2 linked regions of the Caenorhabditis elegans genome follow. The protein of the gene in region 2 purifies or fractionates together with the protein of the main gene of each other region. This does not show direct contact. Each region holds a gene or a part of one and is shown on either strand. Other genes may lie near its edges. The genes, in order: txdc-17 and C25E10.8.

Region 1 (4,165 bases), on a different chromosome or scaffold from region 2:
AAACCATTTACTCTCATTAAACGCATAGCAAATTTCGTCCATTTTTGTCGGATCAAATTCGGATTTTTGTAGAATATTGTTAACCGTATGGATAAGGCAGTATTGAAGACGTTGCTTTTCGTGATAAATTTCTGGTGATGACGTCATCTGGAATATAAATCTAATTGGGGTATTGGATGCTGAAATTTTTTCTATTTTTAAAATGTCGTCGAAATCGTAAATATTTTTTTTGCAGTTTATCGATTTTCTTCTGGAAAAAAATCGATAAAATATTGATTTTTATTCAAAAATTTCATGAAAATTATCGATTTTCTATGACTAAATTATTAACTTTTGTGCGAAACAAAATCGAATTTTATTTGAAAATCGAAATTCGAATTTAGTATTGATTTTTCAGAAAATTTATTCAAAATATCGATTTTTCCTTTTTTTTAATTCAAAAAAAAATCAAAAATCAATTAAAAAAAATTAAGCATAAAATAGGGCACATCCTCTTTTTGAAAAAAAATCAAAAAATCAAAAAATCCATCACCAAATCCTTTATATAAACTGAACAAAATTTTTTTTTTAAATAACAAAAACCATAACCCCAATTCAAAAAATCGTCTAAATATCACAACAAAATGGCGGAATTTTCAGCACAATAAATAGCCAAAAAATCGATAATTTAGTCTTCCTCAGTGAAAAAGTCCTTGACGAGATGCTTATTGGCAATTTGTCTCTCCAAAAGACGTTTTGCCTTGTTTCCAACTTCCAAAAGTGTCGGAATACATGTCAATTTGAGTGTTGGATCAGTACGGAATCCGACAGCTGGGTCACGCCATCTGAAAATTTGGAAATTTAGAGATTTTTTGCAATTTTTTTCAAAATAATTTTTTCCGAAAATTTTTTCTTTGAGAATTTTTCAAAATTTTGACACAGTATTTCGTAATTTCATTGATTTTTTTTTCAAAAAAATTGATTTTTTATAATTTTATAGATTTTTCGTAATTTTATAGATTTTTCATAATTTTATTGATTTTTTCTTTTAAAAAAAATTGATTTTTTATAATTTCATTGATTTTTTATAATTTTATTGATTTTTTCCAGAAAAAATTGATTTTTTTTATGATTTTATTGATTTTTTCTTTAAAAAATTGGTTTTTTTAAATAATTTTATTGATGTTTCTTTAAAAAACAATTGATTTTTTATAATTTTATTGATTTTTTCTTTAAAAAAATTTATTTTTTATAATTTTATTGATTTTTTCTAAAAAAAATTGATTTTTTTTGGAAAAAATCAATAAAATTATAAAAAAATGAATTTTTCCAAAAAAAAAAATGATTTGTCGTAATTTTATTGATTTAAAAATAATTGATTTTTTATAATTTCATTGATTTTTTATAATTTCATTGATTTTTTATAATTTTATTGATTTTTTATAATTTTATTGATTTTTTATATTTTTATTGATTTTTTTTTTCAAAAAATTGATTTTTCGTAATGTTATCGACTTTTTCCAAAAAAAATTTGATTTTTATAATTTTATTGATTTTTTATAATTTTTTGATTTTTTAATAATTTTATTGATTTTTCGTAATTTTATTGATTTTTTCCAAAAAATATTGATTTTTCGTAATTTTATCGATTTTTTTTTACAAAAATCCACGAACACTTCACGATTTCCGACGAAAACAGTGACAAAATGGACATCGAGTCCGGCGACGGCGGCGTCCTTGATCACTTCTTCGACAACTGGCTCAGCTGAAATTCAAATATATTATTTTTTTAATTTATAGGCAGGCGTGAGGTGAGCAGTAGGTAGGCATAGGTATGCGGTAGGCAAAGGCAGGCACACCGTAGGTAGGCATGTAGACTGTAGATAGGTGAGTAGGTAAGCACAGAAGCGGCAGAGGCTGTTAGCAGATAGGTACGCAGGGGATGAGCTAGGCGGGTAGGTAGGCAGGTAGGTAGGCCATCAAAATCTCGTACCAACAACACAATCCGGGCACCAAGACTCTCCGGTTGTCAGAATTTTGGATCCAGTGAACAGAGCGACGACTCGTTTTCCTTTTCCAATCGATTTCAGTGTCTCCTGAAATGCTTCGTATCCCTGAGCAGTGTAGTGTTTCAGTCCGGTCATCTGGAGAAAAAATTCATGAAATTTTCAAATTTACCACAAATTTTCAACAAAAAAATATTCGGAAGAGACATGAAAATCCTTTAAAAAACCCGAAAAATGATAGGATTTTATTTTTTTTTCTGCACTTTTGCACAAAATTTTTGAGCCATATTCCAAAATTCAAATTTTAAAATTTTTTTCTGAAAATTGGAAAGAAAAATTTTAATTTTCCCAAAATTTTCAGTGTTTTTAGGAATTTCTTATCGAAAAATTGAGAAAAAAAAACTATAAAATATTGAAAATATTTATTACGGGAACTCAAAATTTTGAGAATGCGTATTTCACAACATATTTGACGCGCAAAATATCTCGTAGCGAAAACTACAGTAATCCTTTAAATGACTACTGTAGCGCGCGGTTGTGTCGATTTACGGGATCTCGATTCTGTTAAATGAGTTGAATCATTTATTTATCGAGTTCCCGTAAATTGACACAACCGAGCTACAGTAGTCATTTAAAGGATTACTGTAGTTTTCGCTACGAGATATAGTTATATTTTGCGCGTCAAATATGTTGTGAAATACGCATTCTCAAAATTTTGAGTTCCCGTAATAAATATTTTCAATAGTTTATAGTTTTTTTTTCTCAATTTTTCGATAAGAAATTTCTAGAAACACTGAAAAATTTTGCGAAATTTAGAATTAATTTGCGGCAAAATTCATATTTTCGAAAAAAAATTAAAAAATCAAATTTCAATTTTTTTTCTAGAAAATTTTAGAGAAAAAAATAATAAAGTAAATAAAATCTTCGGAATTTCAAAAACCGATAAAAAGCAACAAAAAAAATTAATAAAAAAATTCAAAAATCCCCAATAATTTATTCCATTCAAAACAAGGTAATCTATTTAAGCAATCTCTTGAGCTCAGGCTTCGTCGATGCATATTCATTGATTGTAACACGGGCAGTTGCTCCAATTCCAACACGAACAGCAGTTCTAGACAACCAATGAGCATTCGAATGGATTCCATCACAAATTCCACGCATTTTCTTCACTTTTAGAAGAGATGAGCACAAAAGAATGACAGTTATAAAGCTGAATGTTATTGGAACAATTGAAATCAGCACAATCCATGAACTCATTTGCTCGAATTTCTGCAAAAAAAAAGAGGTTTCGGGGGGTTTTTACCTACGCCTGCCTTATGCCTAAACCTTTTGCTTTTGAAAATACGAAAAAAAAACGGAAAATTGGCGAAAAATGGCTGCCTACTCGCGTGCCTACCATTAAATCAATTAGTATTTCTTAACTTTTACTTGGAAAAAAAAACGAAAAAATCGTTGCCTACCTGGCGCCTACAAGCGTGCCTACTAGAAAGTTGGTATAAAATCACATTTAAAAAAAAACAATCACATCACATTTGCCCACCTGCAAGGCGACCAACGCCTATTGGTTCGGCGTACCTGCAGGCAGATAGTTAGGGCCTGGTAGGTTGGTTTCGGTAAAAAAAAAGCCATACCTCAGCACATCCGTCGACCATTTTGTTTCCCGTTCCTTTTTGTGCAAAAAACGTGTGAAGAACAGGAGAAAATAATAAAGAAATGATTGAAAATTGGACGGGGGATAACTATTTTCAAAATTTCGAGAAAAAAAAAACGTAAAATTTTAAAGAAATGAGAACAGCCACGCGGCACAACAACAACAACAAGAAAAGTGGAGAAAAATCAATAAAATTAACGAAAAAAAAAACAACGTGAAGCAGAAGAAATGCCTGCCTACGCCTGTAGGCAGGCAGGTAGGTAGGCACCGATTAATCTCTCCATTCAACGTGAACCTGATCCGTTCTATATCGCTGGGTGGTTGTGGTTTTACGAAGGTCGAAACGCATTCCGGAGGCTGAAATTGACTTAAAATTACAATTTTTGGGATAAAATTATGTCAAAAATCGCGAATTTTTGCATTTTTCGGTTAATTTTTTAGTCAAAATGCGATTTTCAGATAAAAATAAGTGAAAAAATTGATTATTAATGCAATTTTCGAATGAAAATCCTGGTTTTTTCAGTGAAAA
Region 2 (3,380 bases):
AGTCAGTGACTTGGAATGTGGTTCTGAAGACGATTGTTCAGTTGATCCAAAGTGCGTGCCAATCCGTAAGTGTAGTGAAACCAAAAATATCCAGTGGTTCTTGGAAACTTCCAGCAATCCGCAAACCGGAATGTGAGGGCGATGAAGAGCTCAAGGCGTGTGGCTCAGCGTGTGAACCGACATGTGATAACGAGAATCCAGTAAATCAACGTTGAGATTATGTATGATCATAAATTGTTTCTCAGGAATGTGATTTGGTGTGTATGACAAACGTCTGCCAGTGTAAGAAAGGACTCGTCAGAGACTCGGCAACTGGAAAATGTGTGGAGAAAAATAAATGCAGTAAGCTTCAAAATTTATTACTAGACTTTAACCAATTTAACCATCAGTGATTATTCGCTGAAAACCTGCACATAATACTAGTCATAAATTTTTCATTCAGGCAAATGCACTCTTGAATGCTCTGAGAACGAAAAATGTGAACTTGTGGAGCTGACTTGTGAGGAGAAACCATGCCAAATTGTGGACGTATGTGTTGCACAACATACCACTGAATAATATTTTCGATGATTAAAAAAAAAGTTGTTTTTCTCATATTTTAATATTGATGTTTTCATGCTAATGTTTTCAGAAAATTTAAAAATAACAATATTCGAATTTTAACATAATATTTGTATTCCTTTTCAATAGCCAAAAAACTTATGAACTATTCCGTGTTGCAATACAATGAATACAAAAAGTCAGTGTTAACCAAACAATGTTAAGTTGGTAATTATGGATGAAACACATTCGAAATACTCTCCAGTGAGCCAAGCCAAAACTATTTGCACCAAGCGATACGTTTTAAATTGATATCTTCTAGTGAATTGATTCATTAAAATCATTGGTCGGAATGAAATTTCGTAAGGTTCTCGATTTAATGTGTTTCTGATTTTTTCTGAATTTTCGAATACAAATTCTTCGAGATTTTTAAACCTTTGTTGTGAGCCCAATTTACAAAATAAATACGTGACCGGTGAAAGATAAATTTCTCTCCAAAAGATTGAGAAGACCTATAATATCTCCCATTCGATCTTATCATGTTTCTCGTATCATCCCTTCCGAAAAAAAGGGCGGTTCTGCCGTTTTTTAGTGTTCCGGCACAATAAATAGAGCCGTTAAAAAGCAAAACATCGGTTGGTTGCCCTTCGTTATTGTGAAAATGGTGAGTTTTTGAGTTTTTTTTCTAATATAAAAATTATACACTTACAGAGGATACTTGTCATAATCACATGCATCGTTGCTGTTGCTACCGCCACAAGTAAGTAAATATATGTGATTTGGTACTTGAACGGTTACCAGATCATAAATATTTTTTTAGAAACATGTGAAGCCAATGAGGAGCTGGTATCGTGCCATAATACATGTGAACCACAATGTGGATATACCCCTGTAACAATTAACTTAATGTGTCTCCCATTACTGAAAGTTTCAAAATTTAGAAAGCTTGCACGGAGCAATGTATCATGAACACATGTGACTGTAAAGACGGATTTGTTCGTAATTCTCTTGGAAAATGCGTCGAAGTATCTGAATGCACCAAGGAAACTACAAAATGCCCAGAAAATGAGACATTCTTTGGCTGTGGAACAGCTTGTGAAGCAACTTGTGAGAAACCAAATCCAACAGTTTGCACTAAACAATGTATCGTCAATGTCTGCCAATGCTCCAAAGGTTTCGTTCGTCATGGACTCAGATGCATTGATAAGAAAGATTGTCCAAAATAATTTGTTTTTGAGTAAACATTTCCAAGTTCAATAAACCATCAAATATTGGAAAAAATTCAAAAAGAAGTGTGATGAAGGAAACTGGAGTTGTGTGCTATTATTGATAACACAATTGTTACATCAGTATTATTTTTCCTGGCATGAAAAACTAAAAAAAACTCTGTTTGATCTTTTGGATTTATTGGTCATCGTTTTTTTTCAATGTCTATGTCTCTGGCAAACAAAAGGGCGGTTTTGATAGACTAGAGTCCTCTGCGTGATTTAGTGTTCTCGAACAATAAATAGAGTCATTTCAAAAGAAAACATCAGACTGCTGCATTACTTTTCTTTCTGTGATGGTTCGTTCTTTTTTTCATTAGAGCAATGCAAAAACTAATGAGTTTTTAGAGAACTTTTGTCATAATTGCCTGTTTTATTGCTGCTGCGACAGCTGCCAATAGTAAGTTTATTTTTAAATGATTATTGTTAAATATTTCTGGAAAATAAACATTTTACTTTTCAGAGACATGTGGAGCCAACGAGGAAATGGTTGCATGCCATGATCACTGTGAGACACAATGCGGATACACTCCAGTAATCTATAATTTTCCATGTTCTCCTATAATATTTAATTTTCAGAAAGTGTGTCTATCTGCTCAATGTATTGAAAACGCATGCGACTGCAAGAAAGGATTTGTGCGTAATTCACTTGGAAAATGTGTCGATATTTCCACCTGTACCAAGGAAACTAGCAAATGTCCGGAAAATGAGACATTCTTCCGATGCGGAACCGCTTGTGAGCCAACTTGTGAAAAACCAGGACCAAGACCATGTACCAGACAATGCATTGTAAATGTTTGCCAGTGTTCCAGTGGTTTTGTCCGAAACGGTTACAGATGCACCGAACTCAAGGAGTGCCCAAAGTGAACATTTTGTATTCACATTTGTGATAATAAATCGTTGAATTTCATATTCTGAGAAAAACCAACAAATTGCCAAATAGAATAACATTCGGTTACCATGAACTGGAAAAATGGAAACGAATTTATATTTCTTTTTTGGAACAAAACACAAACAATGCCGTGATCGTGATATCATTCCGATGGAAAACTGTGTCCGATCGGAGTACACAAAGTTTTCGTTTTTGGGTACAGATTACCTCACTAGAGTATTGAATTTCATTTGGTCTTATAGGTTCGATGCTACACACAAAACTTTTTTTAGGATTGGCAATTGTTGTTTCATAAACATTCCAAAAGCGACAAAAACAGACAGTTTAAATGTTGGCATCATATATTTTTTTGGAAAAAAAATTCGTTAAAAAATGCGTTAAAAAATTTAACCGTGTGGCAGAGCTGAGCTCATCCCCTACTTGGTTTCTTAATATAGGAACATACACACAAAAAACAAATAAGAAACTTAAGCAAGGAAATTATTCAAAAAAAGATCAATCATTCTTTTGTAATGTCTAGGTTAGAAAATGTCGTAGACGCTTAAAACTTTTTAATTCAAAAATCACGATTCTTTTACAGCAGCGTTTTTTCCAGGCACATTCTGGAAAATGAAAGACTACGCTATTTTACGTGAGCATTTGCAATTGTTTTCTACCTCGTAAACATAAAAATAATCACATTC

The links.
Region 1: the proteins of C25E10.8 (region 2) and txdc-17 fractionate together in Caenorhabditis elegans (co-fractionation; one large-scale study listed by BioGRID). This does not show direct contact.

The regions. Positions count from the first base shown.
Region 1 is NC_003281.10:2,832,621-2,836,785, reverse strand, and holds txdc-17 (Thioredoxin domain-containing protein 17), read right to left. Parts: upstream 2,124-4,165; coding exon 1,973-2,123; intron 1,745-1,972; coding exon 1,654-1,744; intron 825-1,653; coding exon 668-824; 3' UTR 525-667; downstream 1-524. Other genes in the region: josd-1 (ubiquitinyl hydrolase 1), read right to left, coding at 1-147; Y71H2AM.29 (G_PROTEIN_RECEP_F1_2 domain-containing protein), read right to left, coding at 3,003-3,254, 3,617-3,637; Y71H2AM.1 (N(6)-L-threonylcarbamoyladenine synthase), read right to left, coding at 3,908-3,993.
Region 2 is NC_003283.11:9,052,654-9,056,033, reverse strand, and holds C25E10.8 (TIL domain-containing protein), read left to right. Parts: upstream 1-1,964; 5' UTR 1,965-2,101; coding exon 2,102-2,104; intron 2,105-2,153; coding exon 2,154-2,205; intron 2,206-2,268; coding exon 2,269-2,339; intron 2,340-2,384; coding exon 2,385-2,672; 3' UTR 2,673-2,772; downstream 2,773-3,380. Other genes in the region: C25E10.10 (TIL domain-containing protein), read left to right, coding at 1-65, 115-200, 246-342, 443-558; Serine protease inhibitor swm-1, read left to right, coding at 1,202-1,204, 1,252-1,300, 1,361-1,431, 1,482-1,766.